Mus musculus: one gene and its partners. The protein of the gene in region 3 purifies or fractionates together with the protein of the main gene of each other region. This does not show direct contact. Links are inferred from orthologs where the notes say so. Each region holds a gene or a part of one and is shown on either strand. Other genes may lie near its edges.

What was found.
Region 1: the proteins of Eef1a1 (region 3) and Eef1b2 purify together in Homo sapiens (affinity purification with mass spectrometry; 3 studies listed by BioGRID and IntAct, counting the BioPlex papers as one, with this or other methods). This does not show direct contact. The link is inferred for Mus musculus from reciprocal best matches to the Homo sapiens genes EEF1A1 and EEF1B2.
Region 2: the proteins of Eef1a1 (region 3) and Vars purify together in Homo sapiens (affinity purification with mass spectrometry; 3 studies listed by BioGRID and IntAct, counting the BioPlex papers as one, with this or other methods). This does not show direct contact. The link is inferred for Mus musculus from reciprocal best matches to the Homo sapiens genes EEF1A1 and VARS1.
Region 4: the proteins of Eef1a1 (region 3) and Snw1 purify together in Homo sapiens (affinity purification with mass spectrometry; 3 studies listed by BioGRID and IntAct, with this or other methods). This does not show direct contact. The link is inferred for Mus musculus from reciprocal best matches to the Homo sapiens genes EEF1A1 and SNW1.

Annotation. Positions count from the first base shown.
Region 1 is NC_000067.6:63,175,418-63,179,680, forward strand, and holds the start of Eef1b2 (elongation factor 1-beta), read left to right. Parts: upstream 1-1,413; 5' UTR 1,414-1,794; coding exon 1,795-1,874; intron 1,875-2,336; coding exon 2,337-2,459; intron 2,460-3,021; coding exon 3,022-3,148; intron 3,149-3,259; exon of another isoform or gene 3,260-3,337; intron 3,338-3,414; coding exon 3,415-3,481; intron 3,482-3,605; exon of another isoform or gene 3,606-3,718; intron 3,719-3,830; coding exon 3,831-3,956; intron 3,957-4,040; coding exon 4,041-4,195; 3' UTR 4,196-4,263. UniProt on the Homo sapiens protein: Catalytic subunit of the guanine nucleotide exchange factor (GEF) (eEF1B subcomplex) of the eukaryotic elongation factor 1 complex (eEF1).
Region 2 is NC_000083.6:34,999,674-35,003,756, reverse strand, and holds the start of Vars (valine--tRNA ligase), read right to left. Parts: upstream 2,851-4,083; 5' UTR 2,525-2,850; intron 2,495-2,524; exon of another isoform or gene 2,346-2,494; 5' UTR 2,314-2,345; coding exon 1,927-2,313; intron 1-1,926. Other genes in the region: D17H6S56E-5 (uncharacterized protein LOC110956), read left to right, coding at 3,656-3,758. UniProt on the Homo sapiens protein: Catalyzes the attachment of valine to tRNA(Val).
Region 3 is NC_000075.6:78,478,872-78,483,196, forward strand, and holds the start of Eef1a1 (elongation factor 1-alpha 1), read right to left. Parts: upstream 2,854-4,325; 5' UTR 2,768-2,853; intron 1,818-2,767; 5' UTR 1,784-1,817; coding exon 1,640-1,783; intron 1,550-1,639; coding exon 1,370-1,549; intron 1,278-1,369; coding exon 981-1,277; intron 904-980; coding exon 753-903; intron 664-752; coding exon 407-663; intron 322-406; coding exon 87-321; intron 1-86. UniProt on the Homo sapiens protein: Translation elongation factor that catalyzes the GTP-dependent binding of aminoacyl-tRNA (aa-tRNA) to the A-site of ribosomes during the elongation phase of protein synthesis.
Region 4 is NC_000078.6:87,469,450-87,473,528, forward strand, and holds the start of Snw1 (SNW domain-containing protein 1), read right to left. Parts: upstream 2,851-4,079; 5' UTR 2,813-2,850; coding exon 2,799-2,812; intron 1-2,798. UniProt on the Homo sapiens protein: Involved in pre-mRNA splicing as component of the spliceosome. As a component of the minor spliceosome, involved in the splicing of U12-type introns in pre-mRNAs.

The DNA of each region.
Region 1 (4,263 bases), on a different chromosome or scaffold from region 3:
GGTGCCTGTGAAAGTTAAAGGACACCCTTTGAAAGTCAGTTCTTTCTTTCCATCAATGTGGGTCCTGGAGATCTAACTCAGGATGTCAGGATTGGCAAGCATCATTTCCAACTAAGATCTTTCCCAGCTCTAATATGTATTTTAGACATAGTATCTACCAAATAGGAACAAAAATAGCCAGTCAAGTCAGGGATGTAGCTCAGTTAGTAGAGTCCTTACCTAATCACACACAAAGTTCTCCGTTCAATCCTCACATCTCAGCCTCCCCTTTCTGGAATTACAGACAGGTACCATCATCACACCCTGGCTCTAATATCTTGGCTGTATCTTATAAAAGTAACTTTCTAAAAGGCGCTGATGAGCTGGCTTAGAATATTAGATTTAGTGATGGGGTGGGGGTGGATCCCAGAAATCTGTTTGGTCTTACAGACATGAACCTCACAAACTTGAAGACACCGCAGCTTCCTGATCTGCAGCGGACTCCAGGCTAACTTTTTAAGATTCATTTTTAGTTTATGTGTGCATGTGCTTATCTGTGTGTGGGTAATGTGCACTTCTAAGTGCCGGTGCTCACAGTCCAAAAGAGAGTGGAGAATTCCCTGATAAGGTTACATGGCAGCTGGGAGTCTTCTGACTGGGCTAGTGGGAACCGAACTCGGATCCTCTCTGCAAGGCACTCTTAACCGCTTGACTCTCCCTCCAGCTCCGACTGAGCTAACTTTTAGTTTTTGTCAGTTCTCCCCGTCGGTGGAATGAATAAAATACTACCCAACATGATCACCGGGCTAGACAAAAACAAACAGTAGCGTGGACAGGTTCAAGACAGCAACTAAACCGATGCCTGAGGTTTAAGTCTCTCGTGACCCTGGGAGATGAACCGGTCTCCTGATGACAGGGCCATCTCCTGTCTTCCCCTGCAAAGAGAGAGTAGCTCGCAAGCCCGGACTCCCAAAGGTCTCCTGATCGGCTTAGGCTCCATCAGACCAGAAACCAAGGCTCATAACCCTCACCTGCCGGCTCTCCCGGGTTCCAGAGGTGGCGGGGCAGGAGCTGGTACCCAGTCAAGGGCAAGAGGAGAACGGCTTGTCTGACCTATGGGATGCAGACCTGCCAAAAAAGAAAACACCACTCGAAGCGCTTCAACTTGCCCACTTCAACGCGTCCTCACCTTTCCTCCGGAGCCCACCGAGTAGTTCCGCGGACCTGTCCGGGTCTCCCTGACCCCTCAAAACCCTGGCCGCTAAGTCAATATGGCGGCCACGGCAACCTCTGTCAGCCCGACCTGGAGGACGGAAAGCCAGGAGGGACTAGAAACACAGATTCGACTGTTTTTCCCCGTCTTCGGACCTGTTCGGCAATTTCCGAGAGCGAGCCCGGGAGGAAGCGGAGAAGACGACTTGGACCTGCAGTTCCGCCGGAAGTAGCCGAGGCCTTGCGTCCGAGCGCTTTCGTTCAACTCCGGCTCCTCAGAGGGCGTTTCCCTTCGTTTCGGAGTCCTTGGAGCGAAGGCATTTTAAAATGCCTCCTTTATTAATTTTCTTCCAAAGACAAGGGAAGGCCGGCGGACGACCTGTGGGCCCTTTAGTTACCAAGTCGCAGTGGTACGCGGAGGACCGAGACTAGGAACGGACCTTGACCTTTAACCTCTAGCCGGGGCGGCGGAGGGAAACGCCTCCGTCTCTATATAAGGAGTTTTCCGGACGCTCTGGGTCCTTTTTTTCCCTCAGCGCTGGCCGCGGCCTCCCGGCGCTCTCGTCCTCCGCTTTTGCACAGCTCCCCGTTCCAGCCTTCGCCATGGGATTCGGAGACCTGAAAACCCCTGCCGGCCTCCAGGTGCTCAACGATTACCTGGCGGACAAGAGCTACATTGAGGGGTGAGCAGGAGCCGAGAGGCTGGGGGGCCGGGGCCACGTGGCGCGGGCTCGGCGGGAAGGAAGCGGGTCTCCGGATGCTGGGGGACGCCGAGTCAGTGCTCCCGGGGCCGGGATGCCAATGGAGCGGGACCTCCCGGGAGGGGCTGCCAGCATTATAATTGAGATGATGCTTGCTCTCCGTGTGCCCACGTCCAGCTGGTTCTTCCGCGTCTTTGGACAAGTTAGTTTGTTAGTTGAAACCTGTGGCAAGTCTGGTGGGATGAGTTCTCCTGGGTGGCAGATAGTTCTTGGGCTTGCCTAGATTCAAACATGTTCTGTGTCCTTTCAATGAGAAGCAACTTAGGCTAGCCCTGTAATTGTTCTCACTAGTTAGCTTGACGGATATGGGCTATGTCATTTACCAGCTAGTGTTTGTGTCTTTTCTTTTAAAGGTCTGTGCACTTGTTTTTGTGTCACTGGCAGGTACGTGCCATCACAAGCAGACGTGGCAGTATTTGAAGCAGTTTCTGGTCCACCACCTGCTGACCTGTGTCATGCCCTACGTTGGTATAATCACATCAAGTCGTATGAAAAAGAAAAGGCCAGGTAAAGGTATCTTTGTGCTACCTGGATTTTCACATGCAAAGTAGGGACCGGGTTAAAGTTGGCTTTAGCATTGCTGACCTAGTGTGAGCTGAATTTCTTTGTGACCTTACAAGGCCAAGAGACTGAAGTCCTCCATTTTCTCACAGAACAGGTAGAACATGGACAACCGCAGTTCACCTTTCCCACACCTCTCTGATCATGTGCTTTGGACCTGGGGGGGCCACCGCTGGGGTGTGAGGGTAGCTCGCTCATTCGGTCCCTGGCCATTCTTCTGAAACTACCAGCAAGGGTGGAAGTTTGGGGAAGTGGATTCCAGTTCACTAAGAATGGAAGTGAGCATACTTAATGAAATCTCAAACAGATGTTCATTCTGAAAGAGTAAGCCGTAGTGAGTACTGAATACAATGTCTCCCATGGGTGAAGAGTAAAGTTATTTGCCTGGGATTGTGCTAAAGGTTAAATAACCAGAAGAGAGTGGGAGTTCCTGGGAAAGGAAGATTGTGTGTTTTGCCTAGAAAGGGCTTTGACACTGACCTAATGTGGCAGAATGTTTGTTTTCAAGCCTGCCGGGAGTGAAGAAATCTTTGGGCAAGTATGGCCCTAGCAGTGTAGAAGACACCACAGGAAGTGGAGCTGCAGATGCTAAGGATGATGACGACATTGATCTCTTTGGATCTGATGATGAGGAGGTATGACTTCATCTTTATCCAAGCATATTGAGAAGCCTGAGGACAGATGCCATAGCCACTCCCTGGATGGATCCTGGCGTGGCTTTATTGTCTGCCTTTTAAAATTTATCACTGGGTACATGATGAATAAAATCAAATCACCTTCTTTCGGCTGAGCTCCTGATGGATTTGCTTTTTCTGATAAATCTGGTGGGTTTTGTGATGACCTTGTCACTACATTTAAGCAGAAGATAACCAACTTTGTGAAACATCTTTTCTCTGTACAGGAAAGTGAGGAAGCAAAGAAGCTACGAGAAGAACGCCTTGCACAGTATGAGTCCAAGAAAGCTAAAAGTGGGTAATCTTCATTGTTAGTAGTGTTGATTTCAGGAGCTTGTCCAGTGCTTGCCCTAAAGTGGATTTTCCCCAGTTAAATTGAATGGGTCAATATTTTAAAACTTCCACAGCTACTGGTCTACAGCTGTCTTTATGGTAGCAGTTGTAGCATTCCTCTGTGGGAAAGAAACTGTTACACAATTTAATGCCTCTTTCTTAGCCACACAGGAGGAGGATTATGTGTGACAGACACAAGGCAAATTGTGTGTGTGTTTGACAAAAAGATGGTCTGTTTTAAAACAAATTTGAGATTTGACTTAATGGTGAAAGTGTTGAGTGTTTAGGTGCACTTCTTAATCTTCCTTAGAGCCTGCAGTTGTTGCGAAGTCTTCCATCCTACTAGACGTGAAGCCTTGGGATGATGAGACGGACATGACAAAACTAGAGGAGTGTGTCCGAAGCATTCAAGCAGATGGCCTGGTGTGGGGCTCCTGTAAGTGTGATGCTTGTGTTTTAGGGATTTGTGCGTTTTCCCGTAAGGATTTCCTAACATTTACCCCTTGATGTTCTTTTTTAGCTAAATTGGTTCCAGTGGGATATGGAATTAAAAAGCTTCAAATACAGTGTGTAGTTGAAGATGATAAGGTTGGAACGGATATGCTGGAAGAGCAAATTACTGCTTTTGAGGACTACGTACAGTCCATGGATGTGGCTGCTTTTAACAAGATTTAAATCATTCTTAAGTCAGTGCACTTAAATAAAAGCTTGAAAGATAACCCTTGGCTCTTCATTTTGCTGTG
Region 2 (4,083 bases), on a different chromosome or scaffold from region 3:
ATAACTGTGGCATTGCTATGGTAATGAATCTTAATATCTGTCTTTCAATGTTTTTCTTGGTGACCCCCGTGAAAGGGTCATTTCCATCCCCTCAGAAGGGTCCTGACCTGGGCAAGGTTAAGAGCCACTACTCCACCTGTCCACGACCTTCCCAGACTCAAGCCACTGACCACCAGGTCTCAGGCTCCTTCCTTCCTCATTCACAAGGTCACTATAAATAGTTCTCCTGGGTGTGGTACCATGCCCTTAACCCTAGGTCTCCGAAGGCAAGGCAGAGGGATCTGCCTTTAAAGCTTGCTAGTCTTCACAACCAGTCCCACTTCAGGTAAGGCTACATAGTTAAGACCCTGTCTTAAAGCAACAACAAAACTCTAGTCTGGCTGAAAGTTCAAGGAAGAGTACTTAGCATAGCATGCAGGAGGCCCCTGGATTATATACATTATAGGACTGGAGAGGTGAATGACACAGATCAGCGTTTGTAACACTGGCTGCTCTTAGAGAGTTTGGTTCCAGGAGCCCACATGGTGGTGCACAACAGTCCGTAAACCAAGTTATGACAACACCTCGTTACATGTCCCCAGATTCCTTGGCCACTAGGCACACAAGTGTACACACACACACACACACACACACACAAGCAAAACACTTATACACATAAAATAAAAATCGAATACACACAAGTATTTTGTGTGTGTGATTTATCCAACAAGTTATCACTAAACACTTAAGTTTATGAGTCCAAGGAAACATATCAGGCTCTAAAGTTAAAGGATTATATGAAACAAGACTGCCAGGTCTGGGCATCAATAGATTTCACCCAGGAAAACCACAAATGAGCGCAGGTCTGAAGTACTACCCCGCAGGAATGAGGCTCTCTGTTAGTCCATCCAGATATGAAGAAGCCAGTCACCATCTGCACTGTTCCTTCATTCCCCCACTGAAGTGACACTAGGCAGCCACCATGCACTCCCTACCCTGCAGGGGCAGAGCTTTCAGTTAAGGCAGACACAGGTCTACCCTGGAAGGACTCACAGAAACAATCTGGTGTGTCATCTGTCCTCTCCCTGCCTCTCCTTCAACTTCAAGCCTCCTCTGACTCCTCCCAGCAACTGTCATCTCTCCCCAGTCTTCCCTACAGTTCAACATAAAACCGCTCACATCCTGCATCCCTGTCACACTTGCCAACCAGGGCCTTGTCAACCTCACCTAAGCCAGTGGCCCGTGCGAAGTGGGAAACTCAATTGGGAAAATGTCCCCACCAGACTGGCCTGTGGGTAAGCGTGTGGGGACGTTTTCTTAACTAATGATTATGTGGAGGGCCAGTCCATTGTAGGGGATACCACCCCTGGCAAAGCAGCCCTGGACGGTATAAAAGAGCAGGCTGAACAAGCTGTGGAAAGTGAGCCAGAAAGTATCGGTCCTGCACGGCCTCTTTTTGTTTCTGCTTCCAGTCACTGGTCTGACTTCCTTCAGTGATGGAGAGCTGTAACCTGAAACAATTCCTTTCTTTCCCAAGGCGCTTTTGGTCATGTTGTTTTAAACATGGCAACAGAAACCCAAAGACAGACTTGGGAATGCTTGGCACACCAGTGCGTTCGTTCCGAGCCATTCAGTTAGAGCGAGACCTAATTTAAAGACACACACACACACACACACACACACACACACACACTCCAAACGTAGTGAAAACAGCAAAACCACGCTCCACTCCCGGGCGCTCATGTATCACACCCCCGGAGGAAGGAAGAGATTTCATCATCTTGCATTCTCAGACATAGAAGACCAAGGCTCGAGAAAAAGTGTTCCCAAAGTTACTACACCAGGTGGCAGGCAGAGATGCGACCGCCTGACAACCGACTTTTTTCGTGGGATTCTTCCCAATCCTGTTTGTGTAGTCAGAATTTCTCCCTTTTTCTTCCCTCTCACCTGGGGATCCTGACCAGGACCTCGAAGTCCCAGGGCAGGCAGGGTCGCCCCGCAGGCAGCGGGTATGAGCTCCGTGTCAGCATAACTGACCCACTGCTGGACCAGGACAGCTGCCCGGCTGCCCCCGGGTCCCCCCAGGCCTGCAGGCCACAACAGCTGAGCTACAGCCGGGGCCCCCCACACCCACAGGCCGCCAGGTCCCTGCTCCAGGGCGGGCAGGCGAGGCGGAGGGAATGGAGTCCGGCTGCTCGGGGGAGGCTGCAAGCAGATGCGGGGGTGAGGGCCTCCCCACCCGGGACCGTCACCAGCTTCCCCGTATCGGGCAGCGATGAGGGCTCGGAGGCTGGGGAAGGCGTCGGGGTGAGGAGAGACGTAGAGGATGGACATGGCTGTGCAGGGTCCGAACGCGGTGCAGTGACCTGAGGAGAGACCCGGCAGATTGAGGAGGGGACCTGAGCACGTGCTGCAAGGTACGCAGGCGCCCGGCCGGACCCTAGGCCTGGCCGAGCAGCCGCCAGCAGCGCCTAGAGGAGGAGGCGGGACCCCGATCGCCCGCCCCCTCGGGTTGGAGAGGGGAGGCCGCGCCGCGTGTACGTACTGAAGGCGGCGATCACACTCGGCCGGCTACGGCCGCGGCCCCACAGGGCGGCCGGGGTGGAGGTGGCGGGCAGCGGAGGCAGCTCTCCCGCTGCGGGAGAACGCGGCCGGGACAGCGGCACCCACGTGTCCCCCCCTTTGTGACAGCGCACGTTTCCGGACTCGGGTCCTCGCAGGGCTGCCGGGCCCCGCCTGTGCGTGCGCGATCCCGAGGGTCCGTGCGCGGCCCACCGCTGCCGGACGGGTCAAGCAGGGGCCAGAGTGGCTCGTGCAGCACGGAGACGGGAACCCGCGTGCCGGGACGAGCCTGGGTCTGGGTCAGGCGCCGCCGCGGGCAGCCCGTGGCCCTCGGGTCAGGCGCCGCCGCGGGCAGCCCGGGGTCTTCGTGTCTAGAGCGCGGGAAAACGAAAGCCCTAGTGTCTGGAGTGCGTGCTTGGTCCCAGGTTTCCGCCTTTTGCAGGGCGAGCTGCAGAATCTCGGGCTGCTCCAAGTGAAAGACCCCACCATAAGGCTTAGCAAGTTAGCTGCAGTAACGCCATTTTGCAAGGCATGATAAAGTACCAGAGCTGAGTTCTCAAAAGTTACAAGGAAGTTTAGTTAAAGAATAAGGCTGAATAATACCGGGACAGGGGCCAAACAGGATATCTGTGGTCAAGCACCTGGGCCCCGGCTCAGGGCCAAGAACAGATGGTACTCAGATAAAGCGAAACCAGCAACAGTTTCTGGAAAGTCCCACCTCAGTTTCAGGTTCCCCAAATGACCGGGAAATACCCCAAGCCTTATTTAAACTAACCAATCAGCTCGCTTCTCGCTTCTGTACCCGCGCTTTTTGCCCCCCAGCCCTAGCCCTATAAGAAGGGTAAGTACTCCACACTCGGCGCGCCAGTCATCCGATAGACTGAGTCGCCCGGGTACCCGTGTTCCCAATAAAGCCTTTTGCTGTTGCATCCGAATCGTGGCCTCGCTGATCCTTGGGAGGGTCTCCTCAGAGTGATTGACTACCCAGCTTGGGGGTCTTTCACAAGCAGTGCCTGGCTGCTGGGAGCTGTTGCTGTAGGGAATGAAAGGTTGGTAATTCCCTGGCGTTGGTAAATGCACCGTGCGTTCCGCGTCTCTTGCTTGTATTTATCTTATGCTTTTAGAAAGCGTACTGATGGGGTGTGCTCAAGGCCATGTCAGGCTTTTGGTAACGGAGTGCACCGCCAGTTCGCGGAAGATCCTCGGATCTAACCCAGGTAAAACAGGAAAGGGGCTCTAGGTGCTGAGCGCTCACTGCCTGACATGGAGTCACGTGAAGGAAGGGCAGGGGACCCAAAGGCAGAAGCACTCCAGCTGGTCTACTAAAGCTCAAACCTAGAGGGAAAACATAAGTTCGCAGTGCTTTTGAGAGGCCACTGCTAGCCTGGCAGTGGTGGCGCATGCCTTTAATCCCAGCACTTATGAGTGTGAGGCAGAGGCAGGCGGATTTCTTGAGTTCGAGGACAGCCAGAGCTACACAGAGAAACCCTGTCTCGAAAAACCAAGAAAAAAAGAAGAAGAAAAGAAAGGGGGGTTGGGGGA
Region 3 (4,325 bases):
TGCCATTTATCAGTATCTTTGCTATGCAAGCAACATTTCCTATTACAAACTTGATGTTCAGTGTAGCAGACTCAGATCAGGCTTACCAAGTGGAGGGTAGTCAGAGAAGCTCTCAACACACATGGGCTTGCCAGGGACCATATCAACAATGGCAGCATCGCCAGACTTCAGGAACTTGGGGCCATCTTCCAGCTTCTTACCAGAACGACGATCGATCTTTTCTTTAAGCTCAGCAAACTTGCATGCTATGTGGGCTGTGTGACAATCCAGAACAGGAGCGTAGCCAGCACTGATTTGGCCTGGATGGTTCAGGATAATCACCTAAGAAAAACAGCGTGTATTTAAGTCTTGCCTTGTGATTCTGCACACACAACCAATCTAGCCACCTATCTTAAAAATGTGTCACCTGAGCAGTGAAGCCAGCTGCTTCCATTGGTGGGTCGTTTTTGCTGTCACCAGCAACATTGCCTCGTCTAACATCTTTGACCGACACGTTCTTTACATTGAAGCCCACATTGTCCCCAGGAAGAGCTTCACTCAAAGCTTCATGGTGCATTTCAACAGACTTGACTTCAGTTGTTACATTGACTGGAGCAAAGGTAACCACCATGCCAGGCTTGAGAACACCAGTCTCCACTCGGCCCACAGGGACAGTGCCAATGCCTAAAATAGTATTGTTTTGTATAAGTATTTAATACACAAAACATAAGACTTCAAATTCACGTCAACATTCTACTTAATATTCTACTTACCTCCAATTTTATAGACATCCTGGAGGGGCAGTCGCAGGGGCTTGTCAGTTGGACGAGTTGGTGGTAGGATACAATCCAAAGCTTCCAGCAGCGTGGTGCCACTGGCACTGCCATCTTTGCGGGTGACTTTCCATCCCTTGAACCAAGGCATCTAAAACACAGGCAGTCAATTATAACCTCCTTACTTATTGCGGCTTTCTCCATTCAACTACCTTAAAAGTCACTTACATTAGCACTTGGCTCCAGCATGTTGTCACCATTCCAACCAGAAATTGGCACAAATGCTACTGTGTCAGGGTTGTAGCCAATTTTCTTAATGTAGGTGCTGACTTCCTTAACGATTTCCTCGTATCTCTTCTGACTGTATGGTGGCTCGGTGGAATCCATTTTGTTGACACCAACAATCAGCTGTTTCACACCCAGGGTGTAAGCCAGAAGAGCATGCTCGCGGGTCTGCCCGTTCTTGGAGATACCAGCTTCAAATTCACCAACACCAGCAGCAACAATCAGGACAGCACAGTCAGCCTGTAAGAAACAAGACAATCATATACCATTATCTCAGAGAAAGCACCCCACTAAAAAATATCCTGAGTCAGGAATGGGTAAATTTTACACACCTGGGATGTGCCTGTAATCATGTTTTTGATGAAGTCTCTGTGTCCTGGGGCATCAATGATGGTCACATAGTATTTGCTGGTCTCGAATTTCCACAGGGAGATGTCAATAGTGATACCACGCTCACGCTCAGCTTTCAGTTTGTCTAAGACCCAGGCGTACTTGAAGGAGCCCTTTCCCATCTGCAAAGTGACTTCTAATTAGTACACCCAAGACCTAGGTTCTACTCCCTGCTTAAAGAATTCCCATCCCTCCTTTTGCCTTATACTTGCCTCAGCAGCCTCCTTCTCAAACTTTTCGATGGTTCGCTTGTCGATTCCACCACATTTGTAGATCAGGTGGCCGGTTGTGGTGGACTTGCCGGAATCTACGTGTCCGATTACGACGATGTTGATGTGAGTCTTTTCCTTTCCCATTTTTGCTTTGAATTAGCGGTGGTTTTCACAACACCTAAAAAAGGGTTTAAAAGATACCTTTGAACCGCTAAGAAGCCCGAGAATTAGCTCCGCTCAAAACTCAAGGGGACAAATTCCAAAAATGACTTCCAGCGCCAGGCTGGCCTGACTAGTCTCCACCCACCAAATGTGAACAAACTCCAACGCCATTACATCCCCTCCCCCCGCCGCGACTAGCCGTGCTCAAAAGCCCGAGGTGACTATTGCGGCCGATAGGACCACGGGGTCACAGGAAGCAGCAGCCGGTGAGGGACCAGGCCCTCTTCCTTTGTGTGGGTGACTCACCCGCCCGCTCCACCGGGCTGCCGCGTCCTCCATTTTGAGCTCCTTGCAACAGGGCCCGGGAGCGGCCATCTTTCCACGCACGCAACTGGTGCCGGACGGGATGGCCTCACCCTAGTTAGGGAGGCAGGGCAACGCGGCGCCGCCAAGCCAGATCGTGCCGGGTGCTGGGGCCACATGGCCTCGGCACGCTAACCCCAGCCTGGTTGCTTCGGGAAAAACCCCAGGCCTCGCCCCATCCAGGTGGCGTCGGACATGTGCTCCGAAGGCGGGCGGGCCCCAGCCGCCACTCCTGTCCCTCCATTCCTCCCCAACCATGACCTCTCCGGGCTCCGGGCGAGCAAGCCCCGCACCCTCCCTTTGTTAGCCCCTATTGCTGAACGGCAATCGAAGGCAGCAGGGCAACAACAACAACAAAAAAAAAAAGACCAGAGTGCGGCCGGAGTAGCACGCGGCGGCGGCGCGGACACCACGCTAGGCCTCAAGCCGGACACGAGGCGAGGCTACGGGGTTGCCGCTAGGCCTCGCACTCTGCCTCCCGCGCCGCCCGCAACTCGAAGCGGGAATGCTCGCAGCTAATCCCCGCCGACGACAGCGGGGCCCGGCCCGCTCGGAGCAGGACCTCCAGCTCGGCGGCCCGCGGAAGCCACACCCGCCCCTCACCTGCGTTCTGACGGCAAACCCGTTGCGAAAAAGAACGTCCAAGGCGACTGCCGCACTTATATACCGTTCTCCCCCACCCTCGGGAAGAGGGCGGAGCCAGCACACGACACCGCTTTCCCAGTTTGCCCCGCGCCAGCTCCCCGGTCCTCCCCCCCATCACCCCCCCCCCCCCCGCTCAGTGCGCCCCTCCCCCCACGACCAGGGTCTATGAGCTTGTGTGCTCTGCTCTCCCCGCGCTCAGCCCTGAGCGCATGCTCCTCGCACTGTGGTGGGGCGGGTACCGGGATTATGGGTTATGAGAATTTAGCGACGGTCCCTGGGACTTCCCCAGGCGAAGGCGATCCCTCCTTTTGTATGAATTACTCTTGGCCCTAGCGGAGGGTGGGGCGGCGAGAAGCTGGCCAAGAGGGCGGCCAGAATCTATCCCTACTCTTCCTTACTCCGCTGCCAAGGCTGTGTCAAGATCCGGGTGTCCCTTCCCACGGAGGCCACCTCCCGACGTCAGCCCCGCTATCCTTCTGTTCGCCTCCCGCAGCCCATGCTCTCCTGGCTGGGAGAGGAACACAATGTTGGGGACCCTTCCCGGCTCTAGAACCCAAGGGCTTAGCTCAGTAGCGGAGAGCTCGACCGATCTGCCCCTGGGCTGGCCCCTTGGTTTATTCCATCCAATGCCGGTTGATTCTCTGGAAACCTGAAGCGGCCTTCACACCCCTAAGGGTTCAGTTCAGAATATGCTTCAATCCTACAGTTAGCTTTACTTTGATTCTAGGTTTGTTACACTAAAAAGATTGTATGTGTACATGTGTATGTACAGCCATTTGATTGAACATGAGAAACCTGAAAATAATCTAATCCACCCCACATGGTCTCATCTAAATACCAGCATCAGCAATCTCCCAGCGCCCATCCCTAACACTTGTGAAATCACTGCTTCTCAAAAATGGCTTGCCTTGTTAGTTACATCCCTTTCTTTGCTGCAATTCTAGCGATCATACCAGCATTGTTTTGTTATTGAGACAAGGTCTCTCTTTTTTAGCCCTGGCTGCCCTGGAATAGGTAGTAGACCAGGCTGACTTCAAATTCACAGGAATCCGACCTGGACCTGCTGGGATTAAAGCCCTGGCCATTTTTAAATGCCTCTCAGAGCAGGCACACAGAAGTGTTTCTCAGAGGAAAGAAGAACTTCTTTGTTTTGTTTTTTAATGCTAGAGATGGAAAAAGAATTATTTTGTAATGGGATATGGGGTGCTGGAGATGGAACCCTAGGGTGTCTATCACCAAGTTACAGTTCCTAGCTCAAAGATATCCTATCTGATTATCCATCATTGGATCTCCTCTCCCAGGTGTACAACATCACTTCCCAGTTACAAACATTTGATGTTCTTGCACCAACCTTACTAGGAGCATTTGAGGGCCTCTGTCTAGTGTTCACAAAAACACACAGGATTTGCAAAGGAACTATTTGTTTCTGGGGAAGAGTTCCACAGTCAAGGGAAAAACTTAAATATAAAACAATTTGGAACCAGTTCAAAGCAAATTTACATGATGCTTCTCATTT
Region 4 (4,079 bases), on a different chromosome or scaffold from region 3:
CTCCATTGGGGGCCCTGTGTTCCATCCAATAGATGACTGTGAGCATCCACTTCTGTATTTGCCAGGCACTGGCATAGCCTCATATGAGACAGCTATAACAGGGTCCCTTCAGCAAACTCTTTCTGGCATATGCAATAGTGTCCGGGTTTGGTGGCCTTCCTAATTTTTAACAAGGCCTATTTAGGTAGTCCAGGCTGGTCTTGAACTTGTCCCTGTCTAGCCTCAGCCTCTAGAGTAATGAGATTATAGAGGAATTCCACATTATGCTACTGTGCTTTCCTATTGGTTTTTCTGTTTTCATTGTCAGCAGACAGACTCTCACTGTGTAGATCCAGCTGCTTCCCCAGTTTTGGGATTAAAGCTGTCTAGACCATGTGTATACCATCCAACTTTCTGCATTATGATTAACTATTCATTTACCAGACAGAGCAACCTGAGCTGCCATGTGGGTGCTGGGAAACATACCAGGTCCTCTGCAAGAACAGCCACTGCTTTGAACCACTGACCTATTCCTCCCCAGTCCGTATTTGCTAGTTTTATAAACAACATTTAAAAACACAGAAATGAAAGCTTTGTAGTCCTCAAGCCCGACCATTTTGAGACTTCACCTTTTAGCATTGCTGATAGGCACTCAAGACATATTATACCTCTGGCGTTCTTCTTGTGTGCATCCATTTCAAATTCTACTTTCCCTCTCATGGTCCTACTAATCTGTATCATAGTGCCTGAAGAAGACTCGAATATTTGCTATCTAAAACACTCAGTCAGCACAACTCACTCTTATTTTTCTGTACCGAGGCTAGGACCACACATCTGTTGATGTACCAGTACATCATCTGTTGGTTCCAGTTTCATTTCTGTGGCTGTTGTTAAAAAACTGCGGCAAAACACAATTTACAGGAGGAAGGGCTTATCTGATGTCTTAGTCACTGTATGTATTCTTGCACAAAACATCATGACCAAGAAGCAAGTAGGGGGAGGAAAGGGTTTATTGAGCTTACACTTACACAATGCTGTTTATCACCAAAGAAAGTAAGGAAAGGGACTCGCACAGGGCAGGAACTTGGAGGTAGGAGCTCATGCAGTACCCATGGAGGCTGCTGCTTTCTGGATTGCTTCCCCTGGCTTGCTCAGTTCGCTTTCTTATAAAACCCAGAACTACCAGCCCAGGGATGACACAACCCACAATTGGCTGGGCCCTCCCGCCTTTGATCACTAATTGAGTAAGTGCCTTACAGCTGGATCTCGTGGAGGCATTTCCTTAAGTGAGGCTCCTATCTGTGTGATAAATTGAGCTTGTGTCAAATTGACACACAAACCCAGCCAGTACATTTGGCTTTTAATTCCAGGTTAAAACCCACGAGAGATGTCAAGGCAGCTAGTGAAATCCCACAGACAATCAAGAGCAAGAGGGACTTGCTTTCTTGCAGAGAAGGAAGGAGGGAGGCAAGCAGGCAGGCAGGCTAGGCACCATGTAAGCTGCTTGCTGGTTGGCAGAGTGGCTTATACTCATCTAGCTTATACTGTTCAGGATATCCCGCCTAGGGAATGGAGCAGCCATTAGTGGTTTGGATCTTCCTGCATCTCTTAGCAAGAAAAACAATCCTTTCCAGACATGTCCATAAGCCAATCTGTTCTAGGCAATTTTTTCACCTGATATCTTTTGACCAGGTGTTAAGCAGACAGTTAAAGCTAACCAGGTCAGTGTTATTCTGTTTTTGTTTTTAAATCCTGGCCTTAAACTACCTATACAGACCTGATTGGCCTTGGAACTCTGAGATCCTCCCGCCTGCACTATTTTCATCCGTGTACCCACTTGTCCATCTTCCCGGTTTAAAAAAAATTTTTTTTTCATTCTACATATACTACCTCTAGGGCAAAGCAGGACAACAAACCTTAATTCATATAACCAAAATATTCTTAGGATTCATATTGTTATGAGCCAGGAAAAAATATGAGAAGTGGGTTTAACAGGTACAATCCAAGGCCCTAAAGTGAATACCTTCTTTAAAATCAGACTTTTCCAGCTGAGTTTGCATGGAAAGTTTTTCCACTTACAGCAGTTGGGAGTTACATAACTTTTTGGAAGTCTCCCACTTAGCATTTTCTTTTCCTTAAAGGTTGGAAACACTTTACATACAGTAACCAGGGCAACCAGGAACAGCAAAAGCCGGAGGTGGTTCTATGTACAAAAGAAATTCTAAGATCCAAAGTTAAAAGGTGGAGCGGCGCGCATTTAGTCAACAGCAGCCCCTACTGCTGTCAATTAAAAAAAAACTTGGTCGGTTCTCGGACGTTCCCAACTCTTTGTTTTTTTGTTTTGTTTTTTTTTTTTTTTTTGCAAAAATCTTTGTTTCGGGAGAGAGAGAGTAGCAGGAGAAAATGAGAAGCACAAAACATACAAGCGGCTGGAAAGCCTCCCACGAGACGGGCGAGCTTTGCTTAGCGGGGTTAAATAAGCCGCGGCTTCGCAGTGCAACCATCTCAGCCCGCAGTCCACAAGGCGCTCGTCAATCTACCGCGCCGCTTACGCGAAGCACATGTGAGGTCCTCGCGGCGAGGCCATGTCAGGGCTCTCGGAACAGGGGGGGGCGAACTCAACCCGGGAAGCCCCGAAGGAAAGACCCCGGCTTCGGCGCGGCCTAGTCGCGGAGGAAGCCCGAGAGAGGTTCCAGCCACGGTTTTGACTAAGTTACTTCTGCGCCTCAGGCCAGGTCACAGCCCGAACAGTACGGGCAGAAAGGAAAAGATGTGTACTCCAGACCCTTCCGTATCGAGGACCCAAATCAACAACCCACCTGGTGAGCGCCATCTTCTTCCGCTTCTTCCTGCGCAGGCCACAACGTCGCCGGGCGAGTCTTGCCCGGGAACGAGGAACACAATGGAAAAATGCTCACTGCGCAGGCGCTCTGACCGAACGGCCCTCTGGGCCTTGTAGTTCTTTGAGAGAGACTTGTGACAGCCAGTCTGTTGAAAGTGCGTTAGCAACAACTACCTTAGCATACGAAATTCCTTACTTCTGTAGATTTTACAGGCTACAGGGTCTCTGTTTAACATGTCAGTAGTGATAATACAAAATATGATATAAAGCCTTATTTTGGGACGCTAATACTATTATCCAACTCTGCTTTAAGGCCGCTACACATAGTACTGCTTAAGAGTTTTGAATAGGATGCAAAGTCTGGCTGATCCCCCACTATAAGCCACCCTCCGTGCATATAGTTAATCGTTGTGTTAACAGTCATCTACTTTAAATTTTGCTTCACGAATGAATTATTTAAAAAACAGTGTGGGGTGTGGCAAATAAAGAAGATGCTAGAAATTAAGATCAATGAGCGTAGATTTAGTTCAGCTGATAATTTGGAGCTGAAGTAGGACTGAGACAGGTAAGAAAGACAATTATTTCTTTCTGAGATAGGGTTTTTCTGTGTAGTCCTGGCTGCCTTGGAACTTTTCCTATAGACCAAGCTGGTCATGATCTGACATCAGCTTGACACTGCCTCCTAAGTGTTAGGATCAAAGGTCTTTGCCACTGAATGCAGCTCAAGAAAGACAGTTCTTAGTCCAGCAGTTGAGGCACATGCCTTTAATCCCAGAGGTAGATCACTGTGAGTTCAAAGCCAGTCTGGTCTACAGAGCTAGTTCTAGGATGGCCAAGACTACACAAAGAAACCCTGTCTCAAAAGACTAAAACCAAACTGTCTTAGTGTACCCATTACTGTGAAAAGATGCCATGACTGAGGCAACTTTTATAAAGGAAAATATCACTTGTAGCTGGCTTAAATTTTCAGGGGTTCAGTTCATTATCATTATAGCAGCATCCAGGCAGACATAGTGCTGGAGAAGGAGCTGAGAGTTCAGCAAGCCAATTTGAAGGCAGTAAGGAGAGACTGCTTGTCTCACTCTGGGCAGAGCTTGAGTAGATATAGATCTCTTCAAAGTCCTACATCCACAGTGGCAAACCTCCTCCAACAATGCCATACCTCCTGAGAGTACCACACCTTGCACTAAGCATAAGTAAATCACCACGCCAAACAAACAAAAGGACTCTTCTTGCCACACACTGGTTTTCTATGGTA